4 linked regions of the Diceros bicornis minor genome follow. The protein of the gene in region 1 purifies or fractionates together with the protein of each later gene. This does not show direct contact. Links are inferred from orthologs where the notes say so. Each region holds a gene or a part of one and is shown in the gene's direction. Other genes may lie near its edges.

Region 1 (7,568 bases):
TAATTATTATATTATTACAAACTGAGTAGGTGTACTAAAAGATCAGAGTATGGTTCTATGATAGCATGTAACTTGACTCAGGCTAGGGTCTTAGGAGAAAGTGACAGTGAAGCTTGAGCAGGGAAAGGGAGATAAACCAGATGGAGGGTATAGCCGAGCACTGTGCTATTAGAAAACTTTCTTCAGGTTATTAGTTAGTAGGCTGCTTAATTCCACTACTGTACAGCTTCCATTTCTCCACCTTGTCTCAAAGGTTATTTTGTATGATAGACTGACTGTCCAAGGCCAAACTAAAGTCTAGTTCATCAATCAGTTCTTATAGAATCCACTTTCTTGAAGCCAGGAGCATTTGCCTAACTCGAGCTTTCTTGCAACATCCCCTTATACACGATCCTTCCAATTCAACAACTACATTTTCAAAACACCATCTCTAAGTTTTCTTCACATTCAAGATGTAATTTATCAGAATCAGACGACTTAAGAATTAATTTAAACAGCTAGAATGGTATTTTTCAAAGTGGGACCCCAGGACCAACTACATCGGAATTACCTAAGGTGCTTATTAAAATGCAGATTCCTGGGCACCATCCCAGACCAATTAGAGTTGATGGGGCTTAGGAATCTACATTTAACAAGCTCCCCAAGTGATTCTTCTACTTTAATGTTTGAGAATTCCCGAATTAGTTGTGTTCTCACAGCATCCACACACATGAAGCTTCAATTCTCCCACATTTAATCCCCCTGAGTCTGAGGTGCATTGGAGCAGTCTGGCAAAGAGAAAGCAGGGTTTTGGAGTCACAGACTTGGATTCAAATCTGCTTCTACTACTTGCTATCTAGGTGAGCTTGGACAAGTTACTTAATTCTTCCAGGCCTCAGTTTCTTCATTGATATCATGTGGATAAGAATATCTACTTCATAAGGATGTGGTTGCAATTAAACAAGGGAGTCAGAACTATGAGAGAAAAAGCTTATCATTCTTGGGAACATTTATTGAGGCCTACATACCATTTATAACAACATGAATAAAACATCATCAGGCACTGTGCTGCATACCATGTATACCAGGATGAAGGAAATCACCCATCTCATTAATTTGTTGTTTTTTGCACCTGTCCCTTTATGGTTAAGGTACAAATTATTTTTGAGCCTTTTTCAACCCTTGTGCTGAGTCCCATGAAATAACGTAGATTTTTCTTCCCCCTTGAATTGTCTGAAGATTCCTTACCTCTGTATTTATGCCAAAGTCCTGAACCTCTAGCATGGGCTCAACCAGAATCTTCTTCTCCAGCCTCATCTCTCACCCAACTCCCCCTGAGTTAGAGCGCCTAGGATCAAATGCTGGTTCTGCTGCTTATCAATATAAGGCCTTGGTGAAGTTACTTAAACTCTCTGTGCCTTCGCTTCCTCCTCTGTGAAACAGGGATAAACAGCGCCTACTTCGTGAGGATTTTACGAGTATTAGACGATATCTAGTAAGTACTGTGTTAGCTATTCTCATGTCACACAGCACCCACACAATCAGCTGCTTCCTCTCGGTTCTCTGAAGGCTCTAAGCTCCTTCTCACCTCAGGATTTTCACTATTGCCTTTGCCTGTAATGTGCTCTGCCTCTTCTCATTCTTCAGGCTTAAATGTCATTCCTCTGAGGCGGCTTCCTGATCCCCCTCACCCAACCACTTCTTTTTTTTTTTTTTTTTTTTTTTTGTGAGGAGATCAGCCCTGAGCTAACATCCGCCAATCCTCCTCTTTTTTTGCTGAGGAAGACGGCCCTGGGCCAACATCCGTGCCCATCTTCCTCCACTTTATATGGGACGCCGCCACAGCATGGCTTACCAAGCGGTGCGTCGGTGCGCGCCCGGGATCCAAACTAGCGAACCCCGGGCCGCCGCAGCGGAGCGCGCGCACCCAACCGCTTGCGCCACCGGGCCGGCCCCCCCAACCACTTCTTAACGAAATAGGTTAAGAACCCTTGTTAAACACTCACTCACTCTGTATTTTTCCTTTGCAGCACTTATTATCATAATTCAATGTTTACTCCATTACAATAGGGAACATGTCTGTCTTACACTGCTCTGTATCCACCCTGATACTTAGCACAATTCCAAGTCCATAGTAGCACTCATAAAATATGTTAAGTATTTGATGAATGAATGATTTCTTAAATCTGACTATGCTCTATCTCTCTCTCGGGATTGTAAAAAACCTCTAAAAATCAGTCACTTTTTGCCCAGGGGCAGAACTCTTCACTCCCTTTACCTTCTGAGATAAAATTTTCAGAAATGCAAATCCAGAACTTAACAAATGTTTAATTTTTGGCTGAATACTCCCAGGAGTATGTGTCTTGACTCCAAGCTACTTTAGATCCGCACTGTTCAATACGGTAGCTGCTACCATACGGGGCTACTGACCACTTGAAATGTTGCTAGTCCAAACGAGATGTGTTGTAAGTGTAAAATACACACTGGATTTTAAAGACTTGGTACCAAAAAAGAATGTTAAATACCACATAATTTTTTATATTTATTACATGTTGAAATGATAACATTTTGGAAATACATAAAATACATTAAAATTAATTTCACCTGTTTCTTTTTACCTTTTTTAAATGTGGCTACCAGAAAATTTATTTTTACAGCTTGCATTAGATTTCTATTGGAAATTTAGACTATCTGCCTAAAAGGTATGTTGTATTTCCCCACAACATCCCTCTGTTTCCTCTCATTTTAATTCATAATGAAACATACTCCAAATTCTTTCACGGAGTTCTCAATATTGATATTTCTGATGCATGAGCTATTTCACTACCCTGTGAACAAGTCTGATTCCTTTAAATACGGCAGTTTCCTACAGCCATATTCAATCCCGGGTCTCATCACACCAAATCCTAATGGACTGGAGATTTACCATCCTGTGGCTAGTTTTTTATTTATACTATAAACATTATGGTTAAGAACACAAGATCTGGAGCAGACCACCTGTTTTGGAGTCCTAGCTCTACTACTTATTAGCTGTGTAACTTGTTACTCTTAACATTTTTTTTTTTTGTGAGGAAGATCAGCCCTGAGCTAACATCCGATGCCAATCCTCCTCTTTTTCGCTGAGGAAGGTTGGCCCTGAGCTAACATCCACGCCTATCTTCCTCTACTTTACGTGGGACGCCCCTACAGCATGGCTTGACAAGCAGTGCACCGGTGGTGCTGGGGATCTGAACCTGTGAGAACCCCGGGACACCGAAGCGGGGCACGTGCACTCAACTGCTTGCGCCACCGGGCCGGCCCCAAGTTACTCTTAACATCTCTGTGCCTCCGTTTCCTCAACTGAAAAATGGGGATGACAATAGTGTCTACTTCACAGGGTTGAGAGCATTAGTTGATATTGGTCAAGTGCTTAGAAGGTGCCCGGCATGGGATAGCGTTAAGTAACGACTACTATTTGTGTCGTTATACACATCCTCATCCTTCCCATCTACTTAAACATTCTTTTATAATACTGGGCACCTTTCCTAGTGAGTCATTCTTTCCAAATCTAAGATGTTATGCTCGGATCTTCTAACTCCAAAACTCGGCTACTCTCCAACTGAGTAGCACTTGGGTAAGGTACTTAACCTCTCTCACTTTTCAGTTTTATCTGTAAATGAGAGTGGATATTGCCACCTTCCTTGCACAAGTTTGAATAACACAATGTAGTATACAAAGCTCCTTGCATGGTCCTTAGCGCTTTACAGATACCTCCTATGCATTTTCTGGTTTAATACATGTGATCCTCACAACACACCATAACGTAGGTATTTTACGAAGAAGGGAACAGGATCGGGGAAGTCAAGACTTGCCCGAAGTCGCACAGATTGCTAAACGGCAGCACCAATACTGGATCAAGGTTTCACTCCCAGTCAAACGTCTTTTCACGACACCAAAGCTGCTTTCCAAAAGCATGAGCGCTAGAACTAAATTAATTCATGCTATTTATGGAATTCCAGTGTGAAGAAATGCAGAAAACGGCAAAGTCAGTCTAATGCCGTGCTGCCCACTGAAACTGCAACAGAAAGTCAAAACACAGGTTTTGTTAATACCATTATCAGGTCAAAGAATCCGAGAGCCCTCAAATCAGCGACGTGGATAAAATTTCAGTAAACAAAACAAAGCGACGAAGTTTCTCTAGCCCCTGAGGACAGTGCGGACTGCGGGGAGGAGGTTCAACGGTCCGGCCTTCGGGGCTGGGCCGGTCCAGGGCCCGGCTACGCGGCCCGGCCTCACCCAGACCCAGAGGAGGTCAGGGCCGCGCTGGCCGCCTGATCCTCCCCCTCGGATCTCGGGGCCCAGCGCTGCGCCCGCCCGCCTCTCACCTCCGGCTCCGGGCGCTCCGAGGCCATCGCACAGCCCTCCCGCGCCGGCCGGGGCCAGAAAAGACGTTCCACTCGTGACCCCTGACCCGGCTACCGCGCTCCCGACCGGAACCAGAAATGAGTGCGAGGGCCGACTTCTGAGTTTTCTGATTGGTGGACGACGCCCTCTCCGAGTGGCTGGCTGACTTGGAAACCGGAAGAGGAAGTCGCCGCCGCCGCCACTGCCGCCGCAATGCAGGTGAGCCTGGTGGGGGCTCTTGACCGCTATCTGGCTTCGGATAACCGGACCGAGAGTGGGCTGGCTGAGGAGAGAGTGAGGAGTTGGGGCTGAGAGGAGGGAGCAGAGCCCGCAGCTGATGGATGAGGGAACGCGGGATGCGGGGCGACGCCGACTGGAGAGGGAGAGACGCGGATGAGAGATGGGGTGGAGCCCGGCTGACAGGAGACAGAGATGCGGCGAGGTTGGGAGGGAGGAGGCAGTACTGACTTGCTGCAGTGTGGGAAAGGATCAGGTTGTAATTTGGGAAGGTTGAGATGCAATCCAAGGCAGACGGCTCGGGGAACTGATGGGCTGGCTCAGGCCCCGGCCTAGGCTGTTGGATGGACGCTGTTGGATGCAGACATAACAGGGCATCTGTAATTGGAGGGAAGCCCGAAGGGTGAAAGAATTGTGGGACCGCGGTGGCCGAAAGCTAAGGTAATTATAATCTGAGGCCGTGGGCGGAACCAAGGATCAAGGCTCCTGTTCTACACGTTGGCGAGTTTGCAAGACGGTTTTGCATCATTCTTCCCAACCTGTGCCTGATAGTTGTTAAGGATGAGGAAATGAAGTAAAACTGGAGACCATAAACGGGAAGGAAATGCGTCGCAGACCCCCCCCCAGCATTTAAAATTGTTTGTCTAGTGTTTAGGACCATGTGCATTTTTTTGTCTTTCATTTGTCACTTAGTTTCTTGCAGCTGGTAGTGGTGCAAGAAACCAGTCTTAGTTTCTTGCACTGGTAGTCTGTCAGTAAACGACTATAGGTTGACAAAGCTTGTGAGAGGGGCACAGGAATATTGGCACAGAGATAAAATGAGTGCAGATTAATTCAGCAAGGAGGAGGTTGAAACATCAGATGCTGAGGGCAAATGAAGAGGGGGGAGGTGGTGGTGCAAGGCCGGTATTCAGAGAAACCTTCATGTGTAGGCAGATTTCCCAGAGATTGTGTCATTGGCAAGAACAGCCAGGTTCACAAGGCAAGTTCTAGAACAGAGGAAGCTGGAGTACATATGCTGCAGAGATATGCAAAAGATAATAAATCCAAGGCATTAGGTCTCGTGAAAATTTCTCAGTGAGAGACACTAGTACCTAATACAGAGAAAAACCAGGCATGGATTAGGAGATGATGCAAGAAAGGAATCAGTTGGCAGGAGGAATTGATGTCATGTGAATGGGTTTAAAGGTCTAAGGGTTGATGCTGTCTATAACCCAAATACCAAAGATAGACAAAAACCTGTCTCTTCTATGCCAACAAGATCCTGTGTTACTTGACTGGTGTTGCACACTGTCATCCTGGCATTTCAGCCTTCCTCTGTGTGTGTCATACTCACACCCGTCTGGGTAACCAACCTATTCCTATTGGTGCAGAGGGAGGAGAAGCAGCTTGAAGCATCGTTAGATGCACTGCTGAGCCAAGTGGCTGATCTGAAGAACTCACTGGGAGGTTTCATTTACAAGTTGGAGAACGAGTATGACCGGCTGACCTGGTAAGGGTTGCCAGAGCAAGCTGGGGAGGGCTCCATGAGTGGGGAGCCAGGACTCTTGGTGGATAGGACATCTCCAGTGATGTAACCATTTATCAGTTAGCAACTATTTTTTTGTTTGGAAAGAACTGGGTTTCCCAACATATAACAAGTGGAGTTTGGCTTAGGGCCTCCACTGCAAGGAAGTAGAGAGGTGCCCAGTTTGCCAACCCAGGTTCTTTCTAGCTTTTGATTCTCACCCTTTGACTTTTCTAGGAGGAGGTCCTCCCTCAGTGTATCCTCCCACTATAGTAGGAATACAGTATTCGTATTGGATTTCTTGGCATAGATGGTGCTGAGTCTTTTAGGTCCACCTACTCGGAGAGTGTGGATCCTATTTCCAGGCTAGAAAGGAGGCTTTTACCCAGTTTCTGAATTTTTAGTGATAACAGTGTAGCCATGGTTCCTATTTTGCCACTGTTCCTCACCCCATTCAAATAATGACCTGCCTTTTTTCTCCATCTATGTCAGAAACTGAAGTGTGTCCCTCTTTCCTAACCACGTAATCCCTGTGAGCCAGTCTGGTTCCTGCCCAGCCCAGCCACAGGGCTATGAATCTTTTTGGGGTGAGTCTGGGTATTCCTAGTCTGAAGGACCCCTTTTAGGCTGCTTTACTGGGAACATTCTGACACCCTCTTACCACCACCAGGCCCTCTGTCCTGGACAGCTTTGCCTTGCTCTCTGGACAGTTGAACACTCTGAACAAGGTCTTGAAGCATGAAAAGACACCACTCTTCCGTAACCAGGTCATCATCCCTCTGGTGTTGTCCCCAGACCGAGATGAAGATCTCATGGTAAGAGGAGGAGAAGGGTACAACTTGGGGAATTAAGTTCTTAGATGAGGACTCAGAGCACAGTTGTTGGTTGGTTATTCTAGAAGTTCTGAATGTGGAGTAGTGTGTGACAATAAGAAGCAAGGGCTGCATTTTGGAGGCCTTGCTTTTTGTCCTTCTGGAGTTGGGGGAGCCACTCCCAAATAGTGGTGAATTAACCTGAGGCCTGTGTCACCAAGGCAAAGACCTTTCTCCTCCAACCCCTATCTCTAGCAAAAAGTATGTTCCTTTGTGACTTTGTCTATTTCACTCTTAGATTAAAATGTGGTAGAGAGAGTTTGCCCCCAGGTCTGGTAGAGACAGAGGTGTGAGGAGACAGAAATAAAGGATGGAGTGAGGAGAATAGTGTCCTAGGAAGCTAGATATTATAAGTCTCAGGTTGTGTTTTCCCTGAAAATGCAGTGTTTGCCTGTGGAAGAAACTATATAGCAGGCCAGATTGAATCTTCTTGGAGTGCATAGTAGGATCAATAAAATCTGTGTGTTACAGCGGCAGACTGAAGGACGAGTGCCTGTCTTCAGCCATGAGGTGGTTCCTGACCACCTGAGAACCAAGCCTGACCCTGAGGTTGAAGAGCAAGAGAAGCAACTGACAACAGATGCTGCCCG
Region 2 (8,059 bases), on another chromosome or scaffold:
CCAAAACATGGTGTGTGGACAGGCAGAAGGTATTTCTTGACAGCTCTAGGGTCACACAGTTTGTTAGCTAAAGAATTGGCAGGAAATGTTCACAGCTCACAAAACCACATTTTTCAAGACATGTTGCCAGGAGAGGATGAAGGACAGCGGGATGGAGGCTGCTGTTCCCTCTCGATGCTGCTTCCATTTCTCAGCTTGGAACTTGCTGGCTTCTACAGTTTGGGATATTCTGAATGTCTGTAGTTACGGGCTATCTCCTCCTGTCCCAAAAGGTCTGGAAACCCAGCCACGGGCCTGAACCACGAAGACCAGCCACACAGCACTCATGGGCAGCGAAGGTCCTATCCTCTTCAGCATGCCAGTTGCATAATAATTTTTTTTGTGTGTGAGGAAGATCAGCTCTGAGCTAACATCCATGCTAATCCTCCTCTTTTTGCTGAGGAAGACCGGCTCTGAGCTAACATCTACTGCCAAGCCTCCTCCTTTTTTCCCCCAAAGCCCCAGTAGATAGCTGTATGCCATAGTTGTACATCCTTCTAGTTGCTGTATGTGGGACGTGGCCTCAGCATGGCCGGAGAAGCGGTGTGTCGGTGCGCGCCCGGGATCCCAACCCAGGCTGCCAGTAGCGGAGCACACACACTTAACCACTAAGCCACGGGGCCGGCCCAATAATTTTTAACTGCAATTTTGCAACTGGAGTTAGTAGTCAAGAGTCGAAAGACTTTCAATAAATCCAATAAAGAAAACAAGGCAACTTCTAGAGAAAGGGAGGACTGAAGAGTGAGAAAAAGCCAAAAGGCCATCATGAGAAAGAGGTTATTTTTTTAAAAAGGATTAACAGAAGGAGATAAGGATGAGGCTTTGGGGGAACAGCTGGTAGAAAGGAAAAAAAAACTTGGCTAACAAATAATTTGAGTGAAAATGACTGAGTAAAGAGATTGGAACAAATATGATATCACAACAAAAATGAACCATTTTAGTAAAAAACTAGTTCCTGGAATGGATTGCCTCTCATTTGTATCATATCAAAAGCGGGTGGAGGTCTGGCGAAACATAGTAAGCAGGAATAAGGACTAAAGGAGAGGACTTAAGGAGAAAATTCTGAGTCTGAAAGAAATGTGGTTGAATTTGTGTGCTGAAATACCCCATCAAGAGTGCTTCTGGAAATGAAACCACTGAAACAAGCGGGTTGAGAAATGGGCATAATGGAGTATCTTGGAGTAACGACAGAACAGTTGAAAGGAACAAAAAGAAATAAATTTAGTTGAGCTCAGAGAGAGAAGAAAAGCAATCTCAAGGCAGATCTGAAGCAAAGGCTTTGTTCTGAGGCGTAAGCATGCGTCTCGCTGGAGGGAGCTGACTCTTGGCACGTGCTGCGCTACGTTTGGCCTGAATAATGATTGCTCCCTATTTTTTTTTAACTCACAAAAATCAAAGTATCATGTAGCTTTTCCACCCTGCCCGAGGCTCCAGATGATCAAAGAAAAGGATGAATCATGTGTAAGGACATAGCTTTGACAAAGCCCCCGATGGTTCGATGACATGACCAGTTTAACAATCCCCGTGACACTTGTCTGACAGAGAGATGGCTATTTTTGCACCTATCTCCAAAATAGGAGCTATTTAAGCTCCTAAAGCTAAAGCTTAAATAGTGCTTACTCTCAAAGCTTTTTACAGACATGAATTCCTGGAACCCTTACAGCAGCCCTATCAGGAAAGGGCTGTTATGATTCCATTTTGCAGATGAGGAAACTGAGGCACAGGAAGGTTAAATGACTTGTCCAAGGTCACACAGCCAGAAACTAGCAGAACCTGGATTCTAATGTATCAAACTCCCACGTACCCACTTCTATATTTGGCAATTGTCCATATTTTTCCTTTTTGCTTTAAGTCCTCTCACAATATATAAAAGAAATATAACATTACACAGAGAGTTGCAGTGCTGGTTATATTCCCATCCCCTGTCCCAGGAATGTGTAGTAAACCTTTCAGTTCCTTTTAAAAACTTTTTTTATATATGTCTTATATCTATGGATGAGGTATAGTGTTATTTTTCATGCTTCAAATATTTACATAAGTAGTAACATACTCTATTTCTCTTGTGCAACTTGCTTTTTTCCTCTCACCATTTTGATTGTGAGTTTTGTCTACAGTGATATGTATTCATCTCTCAAACTGCACCATCCAGTTCTGTAGTCTCCAGCCACATGTGATGACTGAGCACTTGAAACGTGGCTATTCAAATTGAGATGTGCTGTAAATGTAAAGTACATACCAGATTTCAAAGACAGTATGAAAAACAGTAAAATACCTCTCTAATAATTTTTAATATTGATTACATGTTGAAATAATTTTGGGATATAATGGGTTAAGTAAAACATACTAAAATTAATTTCACTTGTTTTTTTTAATGTGGCTACTAGAAAATTGAAAATGACATATGTGGCTTGCATTTATGGATCATATTATATTTTATTGGAGAGCTCTGATTCTAGATCATTCCTGTTAACTGCCATCAGTCCGGGTTTTATTAATTGGTGAAGGAGCAAACCCTAAATCTGAATAACAAGAACTAATATTTACTGTGCACAGATACTTTTCTCCATGATTTGTATGCAATAATGCATTCGGTCCTCCTGGGAGGTTGCATGGCTATGCAAAGTGGGGTTGTGCAGTTGTCCAAAGTCACACAACTTCAAACAGACTGAGCTGGGACTCAAGTCAGGCAGGCAGGCTCCTTGGCCAGAACTTGTAACCACCAACTTGCCTGGAAAGGCTCTATGAGAAACAGCCTAACTCTGCCTAAGAAAGCAATAACCAGATAGCTTAACTTGGTGGCATCTCTAACAATATACCGTCCTTACATATCAGTGGACCCTTTTTGACTTTTAACAAAGCGGTTATGAACAGACACACATTTGTTGTGGCAATTTTAGCTTTAATGAAACCAACACAGGCCAGATATTATTTTTCTGACATCCGCTTGCAATGCTGTAGAGTCAGCTTTACGCTTTGCCACTAATTAGATTAACTATTTTTATGGCAAATTGTCAATGCACTCTACTTGTTCATGCTTCCTACGATTCCAATTTGTTTTTTTTAGCCATATCTATTTATACCTGGAGTGTTTTTTCTTTTTTTAAAAAGAGACGTCTTCATTATCCTGCTGATGATAAAGCTGGGGTTTGTAATTAAGTTACAAAACACACTGGGAGGGAAAAGAGGACGTGTCATTGCCATGGAGATATTATTGATGAATATCGGATTGCTTTTTGAATTCTGAATAAAAATCTAACTTTTACCATTTTGAATCATAAAGTTACAGAACTGGTTGGAACCTGAGGTCTCCTATGTGTTCGTTAGGACCAGAGGCTTGGTGTCAAGCAAGCCATGTGACCCAGAGCCAGTATCTTAACTGCTGTAAGCTTCAGTTTCCTCATCTATAAAAGAGAGATACTAACATCTACTTTTAGCCCTCTTTTGTAGATTAAATGAGATAAAGACTGTGACTCTATTCCTTGTCCCTATTTTTATTCCACCGTAGTTGTGGTAATCACTATTATTATTATTACTATTATACCATCATTTTTTTCCCCAGATGACTCCAAGGGTGTACTCTTTTCAAGCACATCTGTCCTATCCCAACAGGCCTTTCTCCTCCATTATCTAGCAGGACTCTTAAACATTTCCCTTAGGTGGAGAGGTCCATGGTGGGCAGGAAGAAAACCCTGCAGCCTTCTCCCTCCCCTTGCTCTCCTTCTGGAGTGCTCTGGGCAGCTCTTGCTGAAGAACGCTGCACTGAGGCCCATGACTAAAGGGCGTCTACAGCACACTCTCCAACATCTACTTCCCTCTATGGTCTTGCTCCCCTAGCACCTGCCTCCATAAACCCCTCCTGATGCATCCGAAAATACTAGCATTGATGCTTTCCTTGGGATAGGCCACGTTGCTCTTAAGTGCTACTGCTCATCTTGCTACCTGAATGTGTACTTCCTCGCCTCTGTTAAAGGCCCAGGATGGTAGACTAAGGAAGGATGGGGCTCTCCTAGCTCACATCTTCTTCCACTCATTAGCTAAGCTTAGGATCAGTGTCCCCACTGCTCAGAAATTTATTATACAGCCCCCATATCATACTTGTTTTGAGGAACATAACGACAAATCTACCAAAAGTAACCCGCTTTGGCCTAGGATCCTAGGGGGTCCTCATGTGAACTAGACCTTTGGAGGTCAGCCATGTATCTGAAGTTAGAAAGCAGATTAGGCTCTGCCATGACCCTGAACTAAAGATTATAGAGGCGAGGCGGCTGGGACCTAGGGGCTTAAGGAAGTCGCCCACAGGTATGGAGAGCAGCTCCAGGAGATGTATATTAAATACTGAATTACTAGTTCCTCCCTACCCAGCCCCGCGGAGCTTTGGGGGACGCCGTTTCTGGTGTCTGCGTCCTCAGGGCTGGCACGCGCTGTGGCACTACCGCCCGGCCAGGGTCTGCCGCCTCTCCCCCTGGAGGCTCCCGCGTGGTGCAGGCGCTGCAGGTCCTTCTCCGCATTCTCGACGCCCGCAGGGCCGGCGCCTTACACATAGCAGGCGCCCGGTGACGGCGGTCCACTCCGCGCGCGGTTCAAGTTGGTTCTTCGGGCGGCCTTCTCCCAGGGCTGGGCCGTGCTGGGCCTTATTCATCGCACGCTTCCTGTATTAGTTGCTTTTGGACCCTCGTCGTCACGTGAAAAGGAATAAGATGTTATTTCTGTAATAAATCTCCTGACTATTTAATAATTTAGCTCTCTCGACGCAACCAAACCCAGGACACCGCAGACTCGCCGACCTCCTGTTACCTAGTAACAGCCGCCCCGCCCCGTGCCTTTGCCCCGCGTACGCCCTGGTGCGCATGCTCACAGCCTTTCTCCGGTTCCCGTCCCCGCGGGCGCGCGGTAGTGACGTAGGGGCAGCGCGACGCTTTCGGCGGGCTCACCGCTCGGGTCTCGCTGGCTGTCTGAGTGACCGGTCCTGAGCGCCATGGCCTCCGCCGGGGTGGCCGCCGGGCGACAGGCTGAGGATGCGTTACCGCCGTCGGCCGAGCCGCCGCTGCCCGAGACGAAGTCGCTGCTGCCTCCGCAGGCACCGCCGCCGGTCGCCGCGCCTCAGCCGCAGCGGTCTCCGGCGCCGAGGCCTCAGTCCCCGGCGGGCGTGAAGGAGGAGGAGAACTTCTCCTTTCTGCCGTTGGTTCACAACATCATCAAATGGTAAGGGCTGGAGAGGACCAGCTCCACACGCCCTCCCGCTTCTCGTGCGGGCGCTCGCGGGTGCGCCCCCGTTTTATAGATGGGGAAACTGAGGCCGGGGGGCGAGGCCTCTCCCAGGACCGCACCGGCTCGGCCCGTGAGTCCGGCAAACGCTCTGAGCCCTGGCGTTGCCGGACCTCGCGACGGACGGCCTGGCGGTGTTCTCGGAGCCACAGCGCTGCCGTGCCGCCCGAGTGTGCGTCCTGCTGGTCACGAGCGGCTCGGGCGTCTGAGCCTCGGCTTCTCCGTGACGGGGGGGCGCCCGCTGGCTCCCCTTCTCGCAGAGCCGACGGTGCCTCGTGTGCCCCGCCCGACGCACTGCTGAGTGCTGGGGGCCTGCGGAGGAGGAGGGGCCGGCTGACCAGCCCTTCTCACGCGTCTCCTCGGCTGGAGGGAGAGGCAGACGCGAGCGGGAATGACCCGTAGTTCAGAAACGCCGGAGGGGGGAGGGTGGGAAACGTCGCAGACAGCGAGACACAGACGTCGCTCCACCAAATCGACCCCTGTAGTACTAACTGTGTTCTCACATAGTCTCAAAGGGGGGATTGTCATCCTTTTGACCAGCCTTCAGGTTAGTCTCAGTTTGCAAACTGACCCTGTGAAAGAAAAAAAAAAAAGAACACAGTGAAGAGTCTTGCTGATCCCCATGTTAGCCTGAATTGTTTTTACTGTTTTTTATATCCGCACGATACGAGGTGTAAACTCCTAGGCTCGTAACTCTTATTCAGCTGTTAAAAACCAAAACAAAGTAAATGAAAACGAAGATTACTGTTACGGCAACATTCAGGTGAACGTCACTGTGCTCTTGGGTGTTTTGCTAAGATGGAATTTCTGCTCACGACAGGGAAGTGGCGTTCATGGCCCAGCCTTTAAGTGTAGCCGGACTACTTCACTTGATGTGGGCTGACCCGATTCTTCCCCCACTTTTCAGACAACACAAAGCCTTTGTTCTGGCGTTAGACCCTGACTTCATGTGGCTTCACTCGGGGTGAGCATCCTGTTTATAGGGTCAGGCAGACTCCGGTCTGCTCTCATTAGCCTGTGCTCAGCAGGCAGCAGTTTGCAGCGGCAGTGAGATTGCAGACACAGTTGCGGACGCCGACCCTGCAGCCCCAGCGCAGTACTGGACTGGAAAGGGGCTGTCCAGATTAATGCAAATACTCTTACACCGGTTTTAAGAAAAATATGGAAGAATGAAAGCACAAAATGTACACATTCTCAAGGACGGTTCTTGGAGCCTGCAGAGTATGTTCTCGAGCCCCAGTAGAGCAGTTGAGCTGGGCTGGCCTTAAAGAAGGGGCAGCAAGGTACCCCTGAGAGAGCATGGCTTTGCAGTCAGTCTTGCATTCAAGGCTCATGCTGACGCTTGCTTGCCTTGTAGTCTGGGAGAACATGTAACCCTTCTAGGCCTTATTTTCTTATCTCTAATATGTGAATAATAATAACAGACCTCAAAACGATGGGTTCAGACTAGAGCCGTATAACGTACTGGCTGGGTGACCTTGGACAAACTACTTAGCTTCTCTGAGCCTCTTTTTCTCTTGTGAAATGGAACTAATAATACTTAAATGGTAAGGTTGTTGTGAGGTCTACTCAAGAGCATCCTCCTGTGAGAGATGGTGGGTTGATTTCATGTTTGTCTCAGTTTCCTCTAAAAGGACAGTGAAGAGGTTTTTTTTTTAAAGCATAGACCCAAAAAGAACAGGAGAGGAGATAATTGCCACAAAGCAGATGGCCAAGGGCTAACCCACCTATCAGCCCCTGGTTGGCAGAAGCACCTGCCTTTGACCGTGGCTTCCCCCCACGTCTCAGGAATTGGCGTTGCCAGGGACCTCTGGAAATAGGGGTGACGGGGGACTAAGAACAGGAGGATTACTTAAAAGTCTCCTTAAGCAGCAGATCCCCACAGTCCTCTCTCCTCACTTGAAGCAGACAGGTGACTGCTCTTCTTCCATCTTGGCAGGCAATTAAAGGGTTGCTCTTTCCCGAGATTTATTCTTTGGAAAGAATAAGCCAAAGATTATCTGGACTCGGGGGACACCAGGCACAGTGCAGGAGTTCAAGGGAGCCATGTTGGAAATAGGGAGTAAGAGAAAGTTCACACACTGGATATTGAGACCCCACTCTAGCCTTCTTCCCCTACCTGGCTTCTAGACTGGCAGCCAAAGAGAATAGATGTACCTTCTCTGGGGTGTCTGACCAGCCCAAGAGAAAAGTCATTGGGGGCTCCCCAAGAAAGACCACAGTCAGTTCATATGACCCGGTAGCCAGGGTCACTAAGCATGTGAAGAAAACCCCTAGTAAGAAAGACAGGACAAAACAAGAGCAGAAAAAGCCACTGGGAAGAAACAGTATGCATAGAGAGAAGGAGAGATGCTATCACCATGAAAAAAGGCTAGGATCCGATTTTAAAATATCATGTCTAGGTATGTGTTTGAGTTTATGGGCTAATGAGGGAAGGAGACAGACTGATGAGGGCAGTGATGAGAGAGGAGACCTCGTGAAACCTGGAGGAGTCAGAAGACTCCTTAAGGGGTGATGCCAACCACGAGTCTTAAATTATGAAAGGAGAGAGGGATGGTGGGGAGCCAAGAAATAGCATCAACTCATGGGGGTCGACTCTCAGTTTGGTGGGGTTGGAGCATAAATCCAAGGAAGGGAGAACTGGAAGGGTGGGAAGAACCAGCATAGGGAGGACAGCACATCCCTCTCAGGGAGTGAGGTTTTGTCCTCTGAGGGATGGGGAGCTAGGGAAACTTTCAAACTGGGGAGCCTTGGT
Region 3 (7,290 bases), on another chromosome or scaffold:
GAATTATTGGAGGAAATGCCTATGAGGGAGCTGAAGGAGCTATCAGATCGTGATGCTGATCTGACCCCTGTGAAGGAGAGAGGGAAGGAAGGAGGGTTGGGTAGGCAGTGACTCAGACTACAACGTAGCTCTAAGAAAGGTTCAGACAGGCTTAAGCCTGGGGAGTCCTTCAGCCAAAGTCACCCAACACAGGAATCCTGCATCTTGCAGGAATGGACCTGCTGTAGCATCCTGCTATGCTCAGCCATAGGCTGGGAGCAGCCCATGGGGAGTGTGGCCTCATACCAAATGCAGTGGTAGATTCAGAGCTTAGCAGCTGGGGCCTCCCTGCAGGGAGGAGATCTGAGAAGCATATTTCACATTATTCAGCCTTCACATTATTTTTAGGGCTGCATAATAATCCATTGATAGATGTGCCATAATTTATTTGTCCAGTCCCCTTCTAATGAACATTTCTGTTGTTTCCAGGCCTTTCCTATTAGAAACAATGCTCAGTGAATCACCTTGAATTATTCCATCTTGCACACATGGGGAATATCACAAATTGGGCTCCTGGGGAAGCAGACCCTGAGATGGAGATTAACATGTAATCAGTTTATTACAGAGTGTTTCTGAGATCAATACCTCTGGAAGAGAAAGGAAGAAAGAAGGGTGGGGGAGATTGAAAAGTTGGTCTGTAATGCATTCTCAGTGACGGCCTCAGTCAACCCCATAGGGAGTTCTGAAGACAGGATGACCCATCAGAGTTGTCCTGAAGTGGGGTAAGAGGTCTGGGCCTTTATATCCCTGCATTGATCAGTCATTGGATGTAGGTTGCTCTAGGAAAATGGCATGACCTAGGTGAGGTGGCTCTTCAGTCAAGGAAGTTCCTGAAGAGGGCTGACAGCTGCAGGCTGTCTGGAGCAGCATTCTCAGCAGCTTGAGGGAATACATCCTTTAGTCCCGAAGAGGGGTCTGGGAGGCACATCACAGCATCCACCACAAGGAGTAGAATTGTAGGATACTACTATGTAATTTTGATAGATGTTTCAAGGATCAAAATCTAATGTATATATTGGTATATATTTTGTGAATATATACTTCCACTGACAATGTAAAAGAGTGTCTGTTTCCCCCTATCCTTGGTAACACAAGGTGTGGTCAAACTTTTTGATTTGTTCACTTAAGATTTTCATAATCTATATTTGATTTTTACTAACACATTTTCCCACTTTCCATTTACTCCCAAGTACATATTCATTAAGCCCTGGCTCTGCAATTTACTAGCTGTTTCAGTTCGTTCATATGTAAAATGGGAAGAATAATACAACATACCTTATAGGGATATTTTGAGGATACAATGAATGCAAAACTCCTTATTTAAAAATAGCAACACACCAAAAAATATTCTCCACATCCCACCGTCATACATTGATGATTTCCAAATCTATACATTTAGGCCACATGTCTTATTGGTAGGTAAAAATATTCATCTGCATTCTTGTTATTTCTATCTTGATGCCCCATAGCACTTCACATTCAACGTGCCCCAGTCACACTCATCATCTTTCTCTTAAAAATTGCTCCTATTCCTTTATTTCAAAACCTCGAAGTCATCTTGGATTATTTTCTTTCCCTTAATCTTACATTTATTTAATTATCAGGTCCTGTTGAGTTTGTTTCATAAATAATTCTGGTATCTACCTTTTCCTCATAATCAGCATTGCTACTCCATGGTTCAGATCCTTGTGTTTTACAAGTATTAACGCAATAGCTTCTTTACTATTCTCACTGACCTCCAATCTACCCCAAACACTGTTGTCAGAAGGATTTTTTGAATACACAACACTGATTACATTACTCCTTAGCTCAAAAGTCTTTAATGGTTTCCTACTGCCTACAGAATGATGCAGTCTACAACTTCTGCTTGGCATATATAGCTTATCATAATTTGACTTCTGTTCCCGTCTCTTCTTAGCCATCACCTCTCCCTGCCTTGACCTATAATATTTAAGCTAGTTGTATTTCTCAGAATATGTTCTCTCATGATGTATGTACATGCCATTCTGCCTGAAATAATTCCCTGCTCCCCACTTCCCCACTTGTCCTCCAAATGAGGTTCTTTAAATTGGCTCAAATCTACTTCCTTTGTGAAGCCTACCCTGACTCCTCTAGAAGTCCTCCTATCCTACCATTGACTTTTTGTACCCATACAGTTTATTTTTGATTTGCTCGCATGTTTATTTCTTCAATAAGTTTTAGTTCCTCGATGGAAAAAAAAAATTTTTCATTTGATATCTCCAGCACTTATCATAGTGCCTTGAAATAACAGAAACTCAGATACTTCTGGATTGACTTCAAGATCTGAAGACGTTTCCCGGGAAACTTACTGTCATAGTAAACAAAAGATCCTCTCCCCTCCTCCTTCTAGTTTTCCAGGTTTCTTCCAAAACTTAGCAAGCAGGTAGGTCACTATTAACTTTCGTTACCACTTCAGGTAGAATCGACCATTCCCTCGTTGTCCTCCCACTCAGTGTGGTATAAAAGCCCTATCCTAGCACCAATCCTGTTTAAGATTGTATCCCAAGCACCTGACTTTATGCGTGTAATAATGAAATGAATCAATGTTCGCCTTGATTAAGGAGACTCGCTTAAACATTCTAGGAGAACGTCACCATTATGCATAGACCGTAAAAAACCCTTTACAATTCAACTCAAATGATTGTTTTTAAAATGCTGCATTCTCCAGGCGCTTTAATTGTCCTTAGACAGATGGTCAAAGCTTGGCTATGGGAACCGCAGATGCTAGCAGGACACTACGTCTAGAGTGCCAAGAAAAGGATGATTGGCAGCTAGGGCTCAAAAGTTACATATTCTGGGGCTGGCCCGGTGCCGCAAGTCGTTAAGTTCGCGCGCTCCGCTGCAGCGGCCCAGGGTTCACAGGTTCAGATCCCGGGCGTGCACTGACGCACCACTTGTTAAGCCATGCTGTGGTGGCGTCCCATATAAAGTGGAGGAAGATGGGCACAGATGTTAGCTCAGGGCCAGTCTTCCTCAAGGAAAAAAAAAAGGGGAGGATTGGCATCAGATGTTAGCTCAGGGCTAGTCCTCCTCACACACACACACACACACACACACAAAAATACACTTTACAGAATATTGTTGGCCAGGAACAATATGAAGATGCCATACCAAATATGCACAAACAGAAATATTGATTCCCTATAGAAGCACATTTAATAAATTAATTAAAAAAAAGTTACATATTCTCAGACCGATGCTGGAACTAGGAAACCGCTGGAAGTTCAGTTTTTGAAATACGGTTTTGGTAAAGAAAAAAGATTAACCTATCAGGAAGAAGCAAGCGCAAGCAATTACCAATCAAGAGCGGGAAAGAAGCCAAACCCTGGGGATACCCACGCACCAACGAGAACGTCATTCTCCAGTCTCCGCCAATGAGCGGTTGGACGGGGGGGCGGGGCAACAGGCGGACCAATTGCCACAAAAAACAAACAACAATCTGCAGTACAACTGTCCTAACCACAGTCCTCGCCTCTCAAACCACTGGAGCAAACTGGTGGGCTGGGCGGTTGTTAAATACTTTCCACCCTCCTCCTCGCTCAGGGGTACGGTGCAGTAGTTCCCGCACACCAGAACAAGAGCCGTTTTTCCACCAGCTCCCACAGACTCGCAGAAAGCACACTGCAACTTTGCGCTATCTACCTTCACAGGAACTGGCAGTGCGGCGCTACCTGAGGGGGAGGGGCGGCCCTAGTGCGCAGGCGTGCATGCCTTGTGGAGGCGAGGCTGTAGCGGCCCAAGGCAACCTGGGTGTTGTATTTCTTTCGCGGGTAAAACTCGGCTGCTGTTGAGGTCTGCGGAACTACATTTCCCAGGAGCTTCTGCGACCTCGGGGCGGGCGGGCTGGTTCGTTAATGAGCTCGAGGAAGCCGCGGCGCGGCCCACCAGGTTCCAAAACAAGGAAATGAAGGGGGGAGGCGGGACTGGGGGTGCCTGCGGGAGCCGCCGCCGCCGCCGCCGCCGCCGCGGAGGAGGAGGAGGAGGTGGAGGAGGTGGTTGCTGCTGCCGCCGAGGAGTCCCTTGCTGAAGGCGGACCGCGGGGAGGCGGGCGGCGCGCGCGCGCCCGAGAGGCGGCTGTTGGAGAAGTGGAGCGGCGGTCGCGGGGGGAGGAGGAGGAGGGACTGAGCGGCGGCGGCCCCCGCGTCCCGGTGCCTCTATGGGGGAAGCAGACAATGGATTATGATTTCAAGGCGAAGCTGGCGGCGGAGCGGGAGCGGGTGGAGGATTTGTTTGAGTACGAAGGGTGCAAAGTGGGACGCGGCACCTACGGGCACGTCTACAAGGCGAGGCGGAAAGATGGGTAAGAGCAGGGGCGGGGGGAGTAGGCTCGCTCGGGTCCTCGCCCTGCCCGCGACCGCGCGGGATGGGTGGGTCGGAGCCCGGTCGGGCCGTGCTGGAGGGGCGAAGCGGAGGTGGTCGCGGGGCCGCGTCCCGGGGCGGACTCTGAGGGACTCGGGTTCTGCCCGCCCTCCGCGCGGCCCCGTCGCGCCCCTCGGGCTCCCGCGGCGCAGCCCAGTTGGGGGGCGTCGGTCCGTCCCGGAGGGCGCCCTCCGCGTGCGCGGAGCTGGCGGCGGGACTGGAGTTGGGACCTCGGTGGGAGGTGGAGTTTGCGGGGTCTGGTCTCCTGGGGAGACGCGGAGGGCTGGGAGAGCTCCGCCGAGGAGTTGCCGCTCCGGCCCTGAGCTGGTGACGGTCGTTGTGCAACTTCCAATCGGCGGAGCGCCTCCCGGGGCGGCGGTTTGAAACCTCGCCGAGGAGCCCGTCGGGCGGCCGCGCGCCGGGGTCCTAGCCAGCCTCACGGGTCTGATCCTCTGGGCACCTCCGCCCTTGGGGCCGGCCAGCCACTGGCCCCTCGGTGCAGTCCCTTCTGTCCCTGTCGCATGCCCGGCGACTGCTGGACCCCTGCTCCCCCGCCCCGGATTTCGCTTGTTCACATTCTGAATTCCACACCTTCCCCCGAATGTAGGACCTCCTGCGAGACTAACCGCGTTTTGCCCGCAGAACTTCGGAATCCGCCTAGTTCTCTGGCAACTCATTTCCCCCACCTTGGGTGTTCTTATGTCCTCTGCATCTGCTGCCAAATAACTGCGTGCTGGGGTTCCTCGGGCACCTAGATTATCCAGAACGGAATGCGGAGTGACACAGAGCTGGGCCTGAACCTTTGTTTTCCTGAGAGTCGAGGGAGACCCGTAGGAACCCCTTAGAAAGCCCTTACTGATTGTTCTCTCTGGAGGAGGCGAGCTGGGTACTGTACTGAGAACGCCTGTCCTTCGTCCTGGAGGGCAGACGGGCTCCACTGCAGGACAGGTGGAACCAGCTCCCGGCCTGCGAAGAGTAGGTTTAAACCAGCGGTCACCTCGCTGTCCATCCTGGCAGGAATTTCCCTCCCCCAGAGTTAGGGAGCCCAGGAACATCTGCCTGTCCCGCTTAGACTCTCAAGACGGCGAAACTATGTGGAAGAGAGTTTTTATGATCGTAGCGGAACATTTCCAAATAAACTGAATATCAGCCACAATGACATTAGTAAGATTTGCAGTGTTGCTTATCGTTCTGTGCACTCTGTTGTAATTGATACGGTTGATTTATGAACTCCAGGACCAAAGTAGGTAGGGGGTTGTGTGCGTGCGTGCTAATTTCATACAGGAAACGAAAAAGCACAACTGTAAATTGTTTTATCATAAAGTATCGTGAAAATTAGAAGGTATTATACAAGTGTAAAGGATTGTTATTATTGCAAATAATTTTTTTCTTGTTATAACTCAGCGGGCCCCATAGTATTCATTTGTTTCTAAACTTTTCTCATAATTCTTTGAGTTAATTGCCAGGAGTCCTTGCATGAGTATCTTGGAATGTGAGGTACTGTAATTAACTTGTATTTTGTTTTTGGAATATCCACTCTGCTTGTTACACTTGTATTCTTGTGGGAATCTTATCAGATATATTTGGGGAAAGCACATCTAGTTTTCCTATTTGGACATTGGCCTTACAAATCATACGTGGTGTTTTTTCATGATCCTCATGCTAACTTTGTAATATACTTGACCTGGAATTTTAAAAATGTATTTAAATATTTTTGTTGTTAAAATAGCTTCCTTTTAGCAGGCAACTTTTGAGAAAAAGTTAAAAATTCTGCTTCTGAATTGTATTTGAATAGTATGGGCTACAACAAAAACCAGATACTTTAATTCCTGCTTCTATTTGTTCTTTTGGAATATTTCCCCTTCTAATAAAGTTCTTGATTCGAATACACTTCCTTCTTGAGTGAAATTTGTTTGATTAGAATTAATAGAGCTTCTTTAGTAGAGTAAGATCAGTTTGTGTATCTTCAAAATAATATGTTTTTTAAAAAACCTTTTAGGATCTGAAAGCATTCGTTTAAATCACTATATTACATGTAAGGAAAATCATTATGAAGCTTTTTTTCTTGGGCCAAGGGTCTAGTTGAGATTTGAGGCTTTACCATAAACACCCATCTCTTGTGGGTTGGTAGTGGGATTAGTTTTATGTTCACTGATACCAGCCATTTGAAAGAACAAAAAGTTTTTAGTGATGGTTCTAAACTGTGATACAGATTTGCATAGTAAAGGATTTTACACTCTGATCGTGGTAAATTACAGTTTAGCTCGTTCCAGAATTTATTTTGGTTAACTCAGAAAAACGTATAATGCTATTTTAGGGAGCAAGAGAGAAATCACGTGGATATGTTAAAGAGAAGTCATTCTGGTGTATGTAATGTAGTATATAAGCAAAAAATTGTTCAGGTGTTTAGAATGCTGGAAGAAGTAACATAAAACATTAGAAAAGTCTGCTTATAATTTAGTACTACAGTTTACAAAACCTTAGAATGTTATTTCCCTTGAAATATGACTTTAACTTAGGCTATATTAATTATGCTACATAAATTTATAACAGACTGGAAATGCAAGATTTACATCTGGGTTTTTCACCTTTAATAAAAATATTATTTGTTCCATCTTTTTGTTTTGAAGGAAGGGAGTCTTTTGACTCTACTATATGTTTTAAAAAAATCAGGCTTAAAAGTCATTGAAAAGAAAACAAGTTCATGATATTTGTAGGCTTTTTAGTATGAGCAATAATTTGTAATACAGTTTTTCTTTCAACATTAGTAAAAAGTCACACACAACAGTTTATGGTTACAAATCTCAAGACCATATTTCTCAAGTTTCAAACCCTTTTTGTTTTGATTGATAAAGGAATATTGTTAAAAAG
Region 4 (7,743 bases), on another chromosome or scaffold:
ATTCTTATGGCCGGTGATTTCCAAATTTTTATCTCCAGCTCTGATCTTTCTTTTGAGCTTTAGACTCCCATATCCACCTGCCCACTAGATATGTCCACTTAGACTTCTGAGACATCTCATGTTTGATATGTCCAAAATGGAGCTCTTACTTTTTTCTCCTAAACTTGTTCTTCTCGAAGTCTTCCTCATCTCAGTAAGTGGTAACATCCTCAAGAGTTATCTTGAGTCCTTCCTTTCCATCCAACTGATCAGCAAGTCCCATCTCTCTCTTTCTCGCTCTCTCTCTCTCTCTGTCTCTCAATCTTCTCCTACAATCCATTCTTAACACAACACCCAGGATATTCTTTTTAAAGCATAAATCACATCTGGTCACTCCCTCCTTACAACCTTCCAGTGGCCTTCTATTGCCCTAAAAATAAAATCCAAGCCCCTTAGTATGGTCTAAAAGACCCTATATAATCTGGTCCCTGCCTACCTCTTTGTCTTCATCCCACACAACTTCCTCCTTTACTCATGACAGTTCTATCACCCAAGCCTTCTCTCTGCTCCTTGGTTCCTGGCTTAAGGCCTTTCCACTTGCTGTCCATCTGATCGACCTGGACCACTCTGCTGCCTCACCTTAGCAGGTTTTGCTCCTCATTATTTACATCTCAGCTTAAGCATAATCACCTCAGAGTCCTTGGCCATCCACCCAATCTAAAGTAATCCCCTCTTGGTCCCACTTTCCATCGCATTGCCCTGTTTTATTTCCTTCTTAGTTCTTAGAGCTTTCTCCTTTCTCCTGCGGGCTCCCTACCCTCATCTTCCACATCTCTCTGAATGAAGCAGCTCTCATATTTTTATATGACCCTGCCCCCGTGGCCACACTTCATTGGCCCAGGATGGGCCCCTGACTCAGCTGGACTAGAGCCCTTCCTGGGATTTTTAGCACTGAACTTGAGAAACAGAGTCAATTCTTCTCTAATGACAGGTGTTGCTTGACATAAAATTCAGCAACTATTAGTGGTCTTGTTTCTAGTTGTGTGGAGGAAACGAGTCTATAAGCACAAATGAGATTCACATGATGAAGTAGAGAAAAGAAAGTTATTTTTGAAAGTGTTTTTTGGTTCTGGTTGTTTTTAAGTTCTAAATTGTATTCTGCATGCTTATAGAGTTAGTTGGGAAACTTTTTGCATCAATATTTGTTTTGAACAATTAAAAAAGGCTGGAGTGTTATTGACCTAACTTGCTCTTTCTTGTGTCTAACATTGTACTCGAATGCAGTTGCTTAATATGTGCTTTCTGATGATAAAGATGATGAATATTCCACCTGCTGAATGGGAGGTTAGATACTTTCTGTTTAAAGCATGCTTTGATACTACGAAAAATGAATTAAAAGTTGTAGAGACAGGAAGTGATCAGCTCTGAGAAGACCCACATGGGCTTTTCCATTAGTATATCACGAAGCACTAAATGCTTTTGCACGCTGTAAAAAGTACATTTCAGAGGCAAGACTGAGGCAAGATGTTAAATGTTTTAAAATGACTGCACCACCCCCCCTTTATTAGTATTAAGGTCCATTTCAATCTTTATAGAAATCGATCCAATTAAACATTCTAATTATAATTATGCAAACTATGTGCTGGGCACTGTAGGAGATACAGAGATAAGTCAGAGACTCAGTTATTAAAGGACATATTTTTTTCAAGTGCATAAAATAAATGACTGAAATACAAGGTAGCTCCTGTGTAAGAGGCCCTAGTGGCTATCTCTTTCTTAGCTCCCCATCCTGACGCTGTGTTAAGGGGCCAGCTTACCTTACACCACCATATTCCCCCAACCTGGAGTTCAGACTCCTAACTCTCACCCTAGCTTCAGAGAGAAAAGCAGGCTTTTCTCTTCCCCAAAGGCCAGCTTCCTTTCCTGCCCCAGGATTACTGACAGTAAGAACACTGTTAATTAGCTTGACTATAATAATCATTTCACCATGTATATGTGTATCAAAGCATCATGTTGTACATCTTAAGTATATGCAATCTTTATTTAAAAAAAAAAGGAACACTCAAGTTCTTCAGGGAGAATTCTTACCGGCATCCACAAAATGAATTCAGTCAAAACAGTAGTCAAAAGTACATTTTAAGAAGTTTGGGACCTTCAGTGTTCGGGAATATCATATGCAGGTGGTGCAGGAGATGGGGGTGGGGACACCCCCAGTGCAGGGCTAAGCCCAGTTCCAGGCTTCTTCACAAGCTTTCCTCCAGTGTGGTGGTTTCATTTCTCAAGATCTATGAGTAAATACTTGGAGAAAAGACATATCCCTCATGGGGCCAGCCTGGTGGCATAGTGGTTAAGTTCACATGCTCTGCTTTGGTGGCCTGGGTTCACGAGTTTGGATCCCGGGCATGGACCTAGGTACTGCTGGTCAGGTCATGCTATGGTGGCGTCCCACATATAAAATAGGGGAAGATGGGTACAGATATTAGCTCAGGGCTAATCTTCCTCAGCAAAAAGAGGAGGATTGAGGGGCTGGCCCGTGGCGTAGCGGTTAAGTGTGTGCGCTCCTCTGCTGGCGGCCCAGGGTTCGGATCCCGGGTGCGCACCGATACACTGCTTGTCAGGCCATGCTGTGGTGACGTCCCACATAAAGTGGAGGAAGATGGGCACGGATGTTAGCCCAGGGCCAGTCTTCCTCAGCAGAAAAAAAAAAAAAAGAGGAGGATTGGCAGTGGATGTTAGCTCAGAGCCAGTGTTCCTCACAAAAAAAAAAAAAAAAAAAAGACATCCCTCAAGAAACACAAAATATTTTTTCCAGGAAGAGTCTATTCTAAATCCATATTTAGGAAAAAATTTAATTCTTTAACCAAGCAAAGGAACTGTTCTGCTAGAGAATCACCCAATTTACATCATTGAATAGAACCACATCACATCCCCTTGATGAAAGCTTGCCTTTGTTGTGCACTTACTCTAAGCTGGGGCCTTTTATATCTCCATTTTGTATAGAAAGAAACTGAGGGTCCAAGGACACACTGCTAATAAATGGCAAAGCAGGATTTGAACCCAGGCCCACCTAACCAGTCAGTGTACTAACCGCTAAATAATATTTAATGTACTAGGTACAAACAACTTCATTTAAACCAGTGGTGAAGTCACTATTTTCTCCAAGGAAACTTATATAAGAAAAGAGTCCTTTCAAGGATGTTTCATAAAATGGTATCATCATCATCATCATCTATACATGGATATTTTTATTTTTTGCTGAGGAAGATTAGTCCTGAGCTAACATCGGTTGCCAATTTTTCTCATGTTTTGCTTGAGGAAGGTTAGCACTGAGCTAACATCTGTGCCAGTTTTCCTCTACTTTACATGTGGGTCACAGCCACAAGGAGTGGGGTAGGTCGGCGCCTGGGAGCCGAGCCTGCCAACTGAACTGCTGAACTGGAATGCGCCAAACTTAACCACTACGCCATGGGGCCAGCCCCCGCACATGGATATTTTTGACATAAACATGCTTACTTATTAATTCAACAATTGTTTACTGTGCACCACAATTAAGGCAAGATACTAGGTGTTACGAAAGATGCAAATATGACTTCCTATAGGAATTTATAATCTAGCAAGGGAGAGGAAATAAAAGACAAAACACAATTTGATAAACACTGCAGGAAAGGTGAAAAAGAAGTGGTATGGGAGTTTAAAAGTGGAAGAGATTATATGTCCTTTTGGGAGTGGGGAGCCTTAGTGGAAACGGCAGCAATGGGGAAATGTAAAATAAATACAAATATAAAATCGAAAAACAAAAAATAGATATGTAAATAAGAGAGATAAGACAAAATGAGGGATTATTATCAAGATATCTGGATCCCTCCAGCTGACACCTTTCCTACTTTAAAATTATTAACAAATTAGCTTCCATGGATTTAGAGGCATTGCTGTAATCATGGCTAAAAACTGCTGGTCTTACAGGCAGTGGTGCCTGTACTCAAAATAATGTCCCCTCTGAATGGATGGGAAGATTTCGGATGGTCATCTGTCACAAGAGTAACACTATTTAGCAGGAGCGTGGACACTCGTCATTGATTCCTTTTTATAGATGTTTGTAATGTGCGTCAGTAAGATGATATTATTGTGCAGCCCTGATCGGACTGTGAACAAGAACACTGTACCAACCGATAGTCTGTGAGCTGTTTACAAATTCATAGACTTTTTTTGCATAATGATAATACCCTTTAAAATCTGGAGTTCGGCAGTGGCACAAAATGGGATTCTAATACAAACTAGCCTTCCTCACACGTGAATTTCTTTGGTTAAGGTTATGGTCCAAATCAGACTCTAGCGATATCGCTGTAAAAAAATAATTTTTCCCCTAAGTGATTGAAACTAATCTCACCTTGGACTACTAATCCCATTATGCAACGCTCCCCATATCACCACTGGGAGGGGTGGAGTCTAGAAGGGGCGGCAGCAGCGGAGGCCGGTGCATTCTGGGCATTGTAGTCTGGGGCTCTGGCCACCGTCGGGACGGTCCACGTGGTGCGTTTGGCGGCAGCTTCGGGCACTAGGTATCTGGCTCTCTCCACACGGTCCTCTGGGTGCCGGCGCCGGCGAGGGCGGACAGCTACCGCGGAACGGGCTGGAGGGAGTGCCGGAGGCAGCCTGAGCCTTCGCGACGTTTTTGCGACAGCCGCGGCCGTGTTCCGCGACTCCCCTCCCTCCTGGTCTCTCTGAGGAGGTACCGGCTGTTGTGCCGCACTGCCTTTCTGTTTGAGTGTATGGGAGAGTGAGAGAGTGAGTGAGTGTGAGCGTGTGTGTGTGAGAGAGGGTGAGGCGTGAGTGCGAGCGTGAGAGGAGCAGAGCCCGCCGTGGCCGCCCCGCCGCTCCTCGCAGCGGGAGCACAACGCGCGGCAGGAGGGAGCAGGAGAGCCGGCGCCCCGGGAGCCCGCGGGGACAAGGGCAGAGACACCCGCTCCCCACCCCCAGCCCTCGTCCCTCCGCTCTCCTTCGCCCGGGGGAACCTCCCCTTCCTCCCCCCGGCCGGCCTCTGCCCCGCTGCCCCCCTGGATGTCCCCGGCGCTCTCGCGGGGCCTCCTCCTGCGCTTGCCGCATCAGTCGGGTTGGTGCTGCGGCCGCCGGGTGTAGAGCGGGCGGGTTCCCGGGGGCTGCGGCTGCCGTTGCGTCCACGGTCCCCATCCCGGCCCCCCGACCCCCCGACCCAGCTCCCCGGCCTCGGAGGCTGTGACAATGGACTATGACTTTAAAGTGAAGCTGAGCAGCGAGCGGGAGCGGGTCGAGGACCTGTTTGAATACGAGGGCTGCAAAGTTGGCCGAGGCACTTATGGTCACGTCTACAAAGCCAAGAGGAAGGATGGGTGAGTGTTTGTGTCTGTGCCGGTGTCCGCGCTGGGCGGCGCTCCCGCAGGCTGAGGCAGGTAGCCCGGAGGGAGAGCGGGGCGCCGGAGTGCCGGTCACCCACTTCCTCGACACCCGCGTCTGTGCCCGCCTGGCAGGTTTGGGGAGGAAGTGTACGAGGGATCCAAACCCGCACGAAACCCTGCGTGCTGCTGTCTCTGTTCTACTTTGGTGGCTCATAGGGAAAAGGAGCCTCTACCTTACGGGCTGTATACTTTTCAAGGGTTTCGGTACTAGATGTTTTTAAAAATTCGTTATAAAACGTCAGTTTAGATGATTTTGGGGGGTCAATTTATTATGGTAACATGGGGATTTCCTCAGCCCTCTCTGGAGTGACATCCATCAGTCTGGAAGGGAAGCTGTGATCCTTTCCGTCACCAGTTTGTGATTGATTTATTACCAAATTTGGATTTTACTTGGGGGAAAGAAAGCAGCAAGTAAATGTGGTTCTGAAGAGTTCCTCGTAGTGATCGTCTGCAATATGAGTGTAGCGATTGCTGTTTAGATATCATTAGCTGTGAGTTTTACATAGAACAATGGGGCTTTGGTGCAGGGTGGGTGGTGGGGAAAAAGGCGAGTGACAAATAGGGGTTATCTTGTTCAGGCTGTTCCCCCGAAATTTAGCAGCTGGCAGTGAACTCTAAATAGTCTCTTTGCTTTAGATATTCTTCCCTAGAAATAACTTGATTAAGTCTGTGGCTGGTAATGCTCCCAGTTTAGTTTCTTAAACGGGCAAGTGAAGTGTTCATTTTTCCTTTGTCAGTAGATGAGTGTCTTGTAATATTGACAAAAGAGGAGGCAATTCTTAGTTGAGGAGAAAATATATTTAATTAACTCCTTGTTTTCCTCTTGTGAAAAACGGGTGTTGCCTCTGTTGTCTTTGACACTATAGAAAATTGCTGGAAAGATGATGTCAAAGGTTATTATGTAATCTTTAGATTTTATTATAAACAAAGTAGCTTTACTTGAACATCACTGTTAGTTTGGTTAGCTGCTGTTTAACGTTTAAAATAATTGCTTATGTTTTCCAGTTATGTAGGAGTGTATGTTGAGAACTATATTAGCATTAAAGAGATGAAACCATTCATAAAGCTGTAGTAAGTTACTTGGCGGGGGAAGCCATATTTATAAATACTTTAGTTTTCTGGATATTGGGAAAGGAAGTGTATATTTAGTCAACGTTTTTCTTAGATTTACTGAGATACTTTTCTAAAATAACTTAAAATGGGCTCCAAGAGGGAGATGGTAATTCTAATTAATTTGGAATGTGCATTTCATTGCTTATATGCAGCAGTAAAGCAGTACAGCTATCTGCAAAAGGTAGGGATTTGAAAACTTGATACCCTGGGTGTTGCGTGTATTTAAAAGTACTTTTTAGTGGAATAGATTGTCTGGTGACATTTGAGAAATCAGCGTCTGGAAATACTGTTGACTCTGTTGTTTAATTATATTTGTCGTGAAGTATTACTCTGTAATAACATATATATTTAAAAATTATCCTTGACTTCCCATACAATATTTTTCAAAAGCCTTAAACCATCTTCCCATCCCCCAATATTATGTAATTTTGGGCATATTCATAAAATCCCCACGTCCATGAGGTGAGACATTGTAGTACATTTGACCAGTCTGTTGTCTGTTTTATAAAATTCTGGTGACTTTAAATTATTTTTAATCTTTCTAAGAGAAGCCAGTTCTGTTTTCATAAATTACCAATTTAAGCTAATAAATATGCAAATTTTATTAACTTTGATTTTATATTTTATTTAAAAGCTATAATGTTGTATAAAAGCTATAATATTGTATATTGGCAAGTGGTACTTTTAACTACATTATATACCTCATGGTCAGGTCTTAATTTAGGCTAAGAATAATTTTACAAGAATTATGCAATTTAAAAATAACTAAATGTATAGTATGGGAACATTTCTTAGTCATCTGTGATAGCCGAAAAGTAGCATTGCATTTTGGAAAAAAATAGTTTTTTATTTGTAATTCTTGGGACTTGTTTTCCAGCAACCTTTAATGATTTTGTTTATAGGATGAACTTTTTTTAAAATGGATCAAATGTCAGGAGAGTTTTAAAATTACTTAAAACAGTTTTTATTTTCCAGAGGGAATATTTTTCGGTTTGGCTTCTTTCTTATAACCTTGCTCTGGTAAAAGATAGCATTGTATTTATGAGGTTCTTTTGATCTTATGTCAGTGAAATGTAATTGAATGCATTTTAGTCCTGGTAAAATAAAATTTGTGGGTGTTTAATCTTTTATAAAAAGATGATGATCAAATAATTTGTTTCTAGTATTGATTTACTTTCAAATTAAGTTATATATTCTGCGGCTGAAATTTCGGGGTACT

The links.
Region 2: the proteins of MED8 (region 1) and MED9 purify together in Homo sapiens (affinity purification with mass spectrometry; 5 studies listed by BioGRID and IntAct, with this or other methods). This does not show direct contact. The link is inferred for Diceros bicornis minor from reciprocal best matches to the Homo sapiens genes MED8 and MED9.
Region 3: the proteins of MED8 (region 1) and CDK19 purify together in Homo sapiens (affinity purification with mass spectrometry; 6 studies listed by BioGRID and IntAct, counting the BioPlex papers as one, with this or other methods). This does not show direct contact. The link is inferred for Diceros bicornis minor from reciprocal best matches to the Homo sapiens genes MED8 and CDK19.
Region 4: the proteins of MED8 (region 1) and CDK8 purify together in Homo sapiens (affinity purification with mass spectrometry; 7 studies listed by BioGRID and IntAct, counting the BioPlex papers as one, with this or other methods). This does not show direct contact. The link is inferred for Diceros bicornis minor from reciprocal best matches to the Homo sapiens genes MED8 and CDK8.

Annotation. Positions count from the first base shown.
Region 1 is NC_080752.1:6,335,844-6,343,411, reverse strand, and holds the start of MED8 (mediator of RNA polymerase II transcription subunit 8), read left to right. Parts: upstream 1-4,521; 5' UTR 4,522-4,575; coding exon 4,576-4,581; exon of another isoform or gene 4,582-4,645; intron 4,646-5,972; coding exon 5,973-6,091; intron 6,092-6,776; coding exon 6,777-6,921; intron 6,922-7,449; coding exon 7,450-7,568. Other genes in the region: KICSTOR complex protein SZT2, read right to left, coding at 4,344-4,370. UniProt on the Homo sapiens protein: Component of the Mediator complex, a coactivator involved in the regulated transcription of nearly all RNA polymerase II-dependent genes.
Region 2 is NC_080757.1:945,349-953,407, forward strand, and holds the start of MED9 (mediator of RNA polymerase II transcription subunit 9), read left to right. Parts: upstream 1-4,960; 5' UTR 4,961-5,014; coding exon 5,015-5,241; intron 5,242-8,059.
Region 3 is NC_080762.1:24,558,161-24,565,450, forward strand, and holds the start of CDK19 (cyclin-dependent kinase 19), read left to right. Parts: upstream 1-4,081; 5' UTR 4,082-4,232; coding exon 4,233-4,360; intron 4,361-7,290.
Region 4 is NC_080748.1:9,635,688-9,643,430, forward strand, and holds the start of CDK8 (cyclin-dependent kinase 8), read left to right. Parts: upstream 1-4,714; 5' UTR 4,715-5,217; coding exon 5,218-5,345; intron 5,346-7,743.